Macaca mulatta: one gene and its partner. The protein of the gene in region 1 interacts with the protein of each later gene in a pairwise test. Links are inferred from orthologs where the notes say so. Each region holds a gene or a part of one and is shown on either strand. Other genes may lie near its edges.

The links.
Region 2: the proteins of TRIM38 (region 1) and RFC5 interact in binary tests that used the Homo sapiens proteins (3 or more experiments, as listed by UniProt). The link is inferred for Macaca mulatta from reciprocal best matches to the Homo sapiens genes TRIM38 and RFC5.

What each region holds. Positions count from the first base shown.
Region 1 is NC_133409.1:157,140,246-157,144,060, forward strand, and holds part of TRIM38 (E3 ubiquitin-protein ligase TRIM38), read right to left. Parts: intron 2,535-3,815; 5' UTR 2,505-2,534; coding exon 2,094-2,504; intron 1-2,093. UniProt on the Homo sapiens protein: E3 ubiquitin-protein and E3 SUMO-protein ligase that acts as a regulator of innate immunity. Acts as a negative regulator of type I interferon IFN-beta production by catalyzing 'Lys-48'-linked polyubiquitination of AZI2/NAP1, leading to its degradation.
Region 2 is NC_133416.1:125,292,543-125,296,357, reverse strand, and holds part of RFC5 (replication factor C subunit 5), read right to left. Parts: intron 1,521-3,815; coding exon 1,361-1,520; intron 631-1,360; coding exon 549-630; intron 1-548. UniProt on the Homo sapiens protein: Subunit of the replication factor C (RFC) complex which acts during elongation of primed DNA templates by DNA polymerases delta and epsilon, and is necessary for ATP-dependent loading of proliferating cell nuclear antigen (PCNA) onto primed DNA.

The DNA of each region.
Region 1 (3,815 bases):
GAGCATGCTAAAGGCTATATGTGCAGGAACATACTGATCCCCTTGGCAACCCTGAATAGTTGGTAGGATTTTAAACATCATTGCTGTGCTGTAGAAAATGAGACTAAGAAAGGGGTAAAATAACTTGCCCAAAGGGCTATGGCTGCCAGCTGGTGGAGCATTGCACCCTCATCTGCTGACCCAGAGCCTGAGCTACACCCTCCACTAGAGTCCTGCCAGGAAAAAGTTATATATAGAACAAGGTAATCATCATCTAAAAGATTTTGTAAAATAACATGCTGAACCAAGCAAAACCAATACCAGTGTTTGGCACACATGAAATTTTGTGTCTTATGAGTCATGAAAAATCAGGATGCCAAGTGATTTGAAGCTGACCCAAATTGCTAATTGTAATCAATGCTAAAAGAATTGTCTCCTGTCCTCTCTAAACCCAACAAGTATACTCATTAATTCTCGAGCATTCTCAGGAAAGGGCTCTATGTAACTGTTTTAGCAAAAGATGACATTGTCCTTGCTATATGCCAAGTGCTATTCTATGCATTCTATATTTTAATGTCCTCAAAGCTTATAACCACCTCCTGTGTGTGTGTTTTAGGGAGGGAGGACACTGCTATTATCCCCATTTACAGATGGGGAAACCAAGGTGTCAAGACATTAAATAACGTGCCCAAAATTGCCCATCTAGTAAGTGACCAAACTCAATTTCAACATAAGCAGCCTCCTTTTCTTACTACTTGGTGGAAAAGTAATTCAAATTGGAATATCATCATTGCAGTTATTAGCTGTTCCATGGAGTTTAAGGAAGAGCTGCCATGAGCTGAGTAGGGGTCAGGATTGACATGTCCTTAGAAGGACTTAGAGCCTTCATACAAGACCACCTCTGTCTCGTGGAGGACAGAATAAGGAGCCTGACACAGGGGGCAACATTTTCCTCAAATCTAGGCAGGACAGAAAAGGAAAAAGGACATCAGGACTATGCCCATTCCTCCATGCTGCCAACAGCAAAGTCCCTCCTTCCTTAATATGCTTTCTGGCAAGAAGCCTGGATGGTACACAAAACCTCTCCCTCTGCTTCACCTTCCACAACCAAGCATTTCCAAATCTTTTACTCTTCTTCCTGAATCTTGCTTAAAATCTGCCCTCTCCTCCCTTTCTTATATGGATAGTTTGAATTTTACTCCTTGATATTCCTTTTATTATAGACATGCCAGAGTAGCTGAGCACTGTGGTTCATGCCTCTAATCCCAGCATTTTGGGAGGCTGAGATGGGAGGGAGATCAGGGGTTTGAGGCCAGTATAAGCAAGAAATCCAGACCATGTCTGTACAAAAAATAAAAAAATTATCCGGGTATAGTGGTGCATTCCTGTAGTCCTAGCTACTTGGGAGGCTGAGGTGGGAGGATTGCTTGAGCCCCAGGAGGTTGAGGCTGCAGTGAGCCGAGACTACACCATTGCACTCCAACCTGGGACACAGAGCAAGACCCTATCTCAAAAAAAAAAAAAAAGTATAGGTACCAGAGTGATATTTTCAATGTCACTGACCCTTCATTCCCCAAATGAAAATCCCCCAATAGGTGTTCAATTTTTATGTGTCCTTCAAGAGTTACTTCTGAGATGAACCACTCCCTACCCTAAATGTCCCTCCCCACCACCAAAACCAGGGACCTCCAGGCAGACATTTTTGATGGTTTATCTTCTTTACTAGACTGTAGATACCTAAAAGGTAATGGGTCTTTCTTCCCTGTTTGCAGGCCCTACTGCATGGTTTTACATATTGTGGTTTTTCAAATGATATTCATAGTGTGAAGCAAGAAAAAATGCGGGTGTTTGGTTTGAGAACAACCTGTTCTAAAGCAAGGAGAAATTCATCATAACACAGATGGATAGAGATGAGTCCAACCATCCCATTGAAGGTCAGAACGGACAGTCTAGATAATTTAGCAAGAAATCATCATAAACTATTTTTCAGAAGAATGACATGATGAAAGCTGTATTTCCAAACCATAATATTAGGTTTCAGGCTAAATCATCTCAGCTCCTGGGAGCAGGATAAGATTTGGTACTTACCAAGGCCCCCTGACCCACACACTCACCTTGTAGCCCTGGCATACATCTTCAACAAGAGCTGTGGTGTGCCCTTTGTGCTGTGGTGCCCGCTCACAGCGCCAGCAGATGAGCTGCCCCTCGTCTTCGCAGAACAGGTGGAGCTGCTCTCCGTGTTCCTCACATGACATCTCTTGATCCATCTCTTTGAGGGCTTCAATGAGGCTTCCCAGCTGCTTGTTCGGTCGGAGGCTATGCATGTGAAATGGAGCCCGACACTGGGGACAGCAGAACGTCTCCTGCCTCAGTCGCTTTTGGCTTGGGTTTTTAAAGAAGTCCGTTATACACAAGTGGCAGTAGCTGTGTCCACAGTTGATGCTTACTGGGTTCGTCATCAGGCTCAGGCAGATGGAGCAGGTGGCTTCCTCCATCATCTTCTTGGTGCTGGTGGTTGAGGCCATAGCTTTTATTGAAAAGCTCCAATGTTGGCTCTAGAGATGGAGATGAAGCAGCCAGAATTTTTACCATGATGAAAATACACCTCACCTGCACCTCTATGTGATGAGCTGGCTGCTACTGACCTCCATAGGTCTTGAAGGTTTTCCTTCCAACCCCTATTATCTCATTTTGTATTGAAGAAAAGAGGACTTAAAAGGAAGAAGCTGAGGCTGAGTTTGTTTGGGCCACGATTGAGAACTGCAACCCAGATGCAGAGTTTCAAGTTGTCCTCGTTAGCAAGCAGTTGCAAGTGGTTATTTAACGGGAAAAAAAAGCAGTTTTAAAGCCGTTTTTAAAATTGTTTACCAAGAATTTACATTAAAATAGCATAAGCTTTTGATTGGCTATACATTGTTCTTTTTATTACAAATCTCAGGAACATGTAGGTAATAGATGAGGCAGCCAGTCAGGAACAAAATGCTTTTAAACATGGGGTCTTAACTGAAGACCCATACTCCTGTCTCACTGGTCCTGATAAATTTTGCATACCTCACATAGCTCAGACTGCTCTAAACTATTTTTCTTTTCTCAGTCTTCTATTTTTTTTTTTTTTTTTCTAATGAGCCAGAGTCTCACTCTGTCGCTCAGACTGGAGTGCAGTGGTGTGATCTCGACTCACTGTAACCTCCGCCTCCCCGGTTGAAGTGATTCTCCTGCCTCAGCCTCCCGAACAGCTGGGTCTACAGTGGTGCGCCACTACGCCCAGCTAATTTTTGTATTTTTTAGTAGAGACGGGGTTTCACCATGTTGCTTGGCCAGGATGGTCTCGATCTCTTGACCTTGTGATCCACCTGCCTCAGTCTCCCAAAGTGCCGAGATTACAGGAATGAGCCACTGCACCCGGGCTCTTTTTCTTTTCTTATGAGACAAGTTCTCGCTCTCTTGCAGTGCAGTGGCATGACCACCGCTCACTGCAGCCTCGACCTCCTGGGTTCAAGCAATCCTCCTGCCTCACCCTGGCAGAGTGGCTGGGACTACAGGCATGTGCCACCATGTCCAGCTAAAGTCTTCTCTCCAGAAAGAAGAAATGCATTAGAATTTAGAGGACGCATAAACGTCTAGCTGTGTAGCTAATACAGTAGCCACTATCATGAATGGGAATTTAAATTTAACTTAATAAAAATTAAAATGAAACATTTAGTTTTTCTGTTCCACTTGCCACATTTTGATTGCTTAATAGTTGCATGTGACTAGTGGCTACATAACAGCCTCAATATACAACATTCTGTTATCACAGAAAGTTACCTTGGACCAAGTGCTGGGAGAAACAATGC
Region 2 (3,815 bases), on another chromosome or scaffold:
CGTGAGCCACCATACCTGGCCCTGCAACAAGTGATTTTTTCAATTAATCAAAATACAAAGTAAGGAGGGGGAAATCCAGCAGGTTATGAGATCAAGGTCTTACCAGTTGTAGATTTCTAAATGTACAGATTGATCATGCCTTTGCTTAGGTCTTTCTTAAAAAACTATGACAAAACAATGACTCAGGATTTGCTGGGACCAGGCCGGGCACGGTGGCTCACGCCTGTAATCCCAGCACTTTAGGAAGCCGAGGCGGACGGATCACTTGAGGTCAGGAGTTCGAGACCAGCCTAGCCAGCATGGCGAAACACTATCTCTACTAAAAATACAAAAATTAGCAGGGCGCGAAACACTATCTCTACTAAAAATACAAAAATTAGCAGGGCGTGGTAGTGGGCGCCTGTAATCCCAGCTGCTCAGGAGGCAGGGGATTCGCTTGAACCCAGGAAGCGGAGGTTGCACTGAGCTGAGATTGTGCTGCTACACTGCAGCCTGGGCGACAGAGCAAGACTCTGTCTCAAAAACAAAAGGATTTGCTGAGACCATACCTGCAAAATGTTCAGAGCCCTGCGCATGTCTCCGCTGGAAAGAGTGACTAGTGCTTTCATTCCATCTTCACTTATATCAACTCTGAAAGAAATAAGCAGAAGGGATTTATGAGGTCCCCGGAGAGCACTAGCATTCACCAAAGGAACAAGATGGTCTGGAATGATTAAGGCTTTAAAGGAATGAAGGAAAGAGAGGAACAGAGTTAATAATCTCATGATCTATCTGATCTAGAATTCACTCTGGTTTTTAGGGACCTGGGCTTCACATTAGTACTCACAGCCAACCAAAACGAGAACAGCCTGCATTTAGGAACAAGCATTCTCCCATGGAGCCAGTCGCCTTGAATTCTGCTCTCTGGGGAGCAGAGGCCTGGCACAAGCCATGATCACACAGCCCAAACTCCTCCTTTACAACAAGCAGCTGCTCAGGTCGGCTACTTGTTTGGCATCTGATTACACAGAATGTGATGTCTCAGAACCTTCCCTTCTAGTCTAAAAAGGCTGGAAGCATCTTTGCAGAAGGGACTCAGCAGCCTGCAGTTTCCAATGACAAAGAAGAGTAGGAGGAAATTGGGCAGCTTCCAGGGGAGGAGGATGGAATCAAGAAAAATGAAGTACCAAAAGACTTTTATGAGGAATGGCCTTGAGACAGCAGAGAAAATGATAGCAGTAGACGCTCCCCAGTGCCTCCCCTGTGCTAGGCACTCAGCAAAGTCGTTTTCCAACATCCTCTCCTCTACATACGAACCATCAGTCATCCCACAAGCCTGTTTCTACTACACTGCATCCCCAAAGACCCGCAAAATACTCACTTCTCTTCTTCCACGACATGTTCCAGGCGGGGAACCATGAGTTCAGGAGTCAGGGGACCGAACCGAAACCTCGTGCAGCGGGACTGCAAGGCAGGGATGATCTTTGACAGATAGTTACAGATGAGGCAGAATCTGGTATTCTCTGTGAATTTCTCAATTACTGGTAAGAGAAAATAAAACCACCTCATGTCAAACTCCATTCTGATTTTTCAGAGTCCAGAAAACTTGAATTTTTCTGTTGTCACAAGGGTATAGGAAAAGATTCAAGACTGCAAACAAGTGAGGATGTTGGCCGGCCGCAGTGGCTCACGTCTGTAATCCCAGCACTTTGGGAGGCTGAGGCGGGAGGATCACTTGAGGTCAGGAGTTCGAGACCAGCCTGGCCAACATGGCAAAACCTCTACTGAAAATACAAAATTTAGCCAGGTGTGGTGGCACATGCCTGTAATCCCAGCTACTTGGGAGGCTGAGGCAGGAGAATTGCTAGAATCCAGGAGGTGCAGGTTGCAGTGACCCAAAATCATTCCACTGCTCTCCAGCGTGGGCAACAGAGTGAGACTCTGTCTCAAAAAAGAAAGAATGTAAACAAATGAAGATGCAGCCGGCAACAAGACAGGGCAGCTCTGTCCTCTTCAGATCAGAGGTTAGTCACTCCTCTTTTTTTTTTTTTTTTAAACAGAGTCTCGCTCTGTCACCCAGGCTGGAGTGCAATGGCGCGATCTTGGCTCACTGCAACCGCTGCCTCCCGGGTTCAAGCGATTCTCCTGCCTCAGCCTCCCGAGTAGCTGGGACCACAGGCGCGTGCCACCACACCAGCTAAATTTTTGTATTTTTAGTAGAGACGGGGTTTCACCATGTTAGCCAGGATGGTCTCGATCTCCTGACCTTATGATTCGCCCGCCTCGGCCTCCCAAAGTGCTGGGATTACAGGCATGAGTCACTGCGCCAGGCCAATTTTTGTATTTTTAGTAGAGACAGAGTTTCATCATGTTAGCCAGGCGGGTCTCAAACTCCTGACCTCAAGTGATCTGCCCGCCTCAGCCTCCCAATGTGCTGGGATTACAGGCATGAGCCACCGCACCCGGCCTAGCCACTCCTCTTTCACAAACTGGTAAACATGCCTCCGTGGAATTTTACAAAATGCTTCCTTTTTGCCATTTACCATGATTCTGGCACTTTTGCCATGTAATCCCATTAAGATTATGAGACCTCTTCTTGTCCTTTTACATAAAATTATATTTGGCAGGTTGATGATTCTTCACCTTCTATGGGCAGGGAGGGGGACGGCTTTTTGCAGACTTTTCCATGGAGACTGTCTGGAGGCCTCAGAGCACTCAAGGGAGCAATAACCCGAACAAAGAGTTGCTTATGACACCAGTTCCATTCTGTAGGTACCCAATGTTCTTACATGGGGATCTGCCCAGAATGACAGTCACTCGGCAGAACAAGATGCCGAAGAAAGGCTGCCAAGCTTCTAGGACCAGAGAGATTCTCACTGTCCTCCTCAACCTCCTCCTCCTCTGCCTCGTCCTCCTTCTCCTCCCCCTCCTCTCCTTCTCCACCCCCTCTTCTCCTCCTCCACCTGCCCCTACCCTTCTCCTCCACCTCCCCCTACCCTCCTCCTCCCTTTCTCCTCCCCCTTCTCCTCCTCACCCGCTCCTCTTCCCCCCACCTTCCCCCGTCCTTTCCTTAAACATGTGCTGCCATCTACTCCCTCCCCACAAGCTCCTAAAGATCGTTCTTCTCTCAAAGCTGATTCACTTGGAATCTTAATGAGAGATGACAAGTGTCCTTTAAGGGAAAAGAACTGCACTGGGCCCCCGAAGACAGACAAATCGCAGGGTGCTCTCCCTCCCCCCGCCAAATCATTCACTTGGCAAGCAGTGAAGTAATGTCAGCTCTCTGAGCACCTCAACTTCAGATATTCTTCTCCTAGCTATTGTGGTTCAAAGGGTACCATTAGCAGAAAGGAAAGGGTACTATTAGCAGAAAGGACTATCCGATAGTTTAGGGATGAAAGATTTTCCACACCCCATCCCATGGAAAGATATGAATTCTCAACCCTGAAATTGAACCCAGTGTCAAAGGAGGTTGAACACCAGTGACTGGCCAGACTTAAAAGTCCCCGCAGGGCTTAGTCCTTAGGCTGCTGAAGGGGAAGGTCCCACTGCAGAGGTATCTTGCCTGTATCATCAGATGGGAGACACACAGAAAGGCATAGAGATTTCTCTGGGCCAGAAGATGAAAACTGAAAACAAGTCATGCCATATCTCATGTCCAAAGTTCCTAATTCTCCTGTAATCCCAGCACTTTGGGAGGCCGAGGTGGGCGGATCACCCAAGGTCAGGAGTTCGAGACCAGCCTGGCCAACATGGTGAAATCCCATCTCTCCTAAAAATATAAAAATCAGCCGGCTGTGGTGGTGCATGCCTATAATCCCAGTTACTTGAGAGGC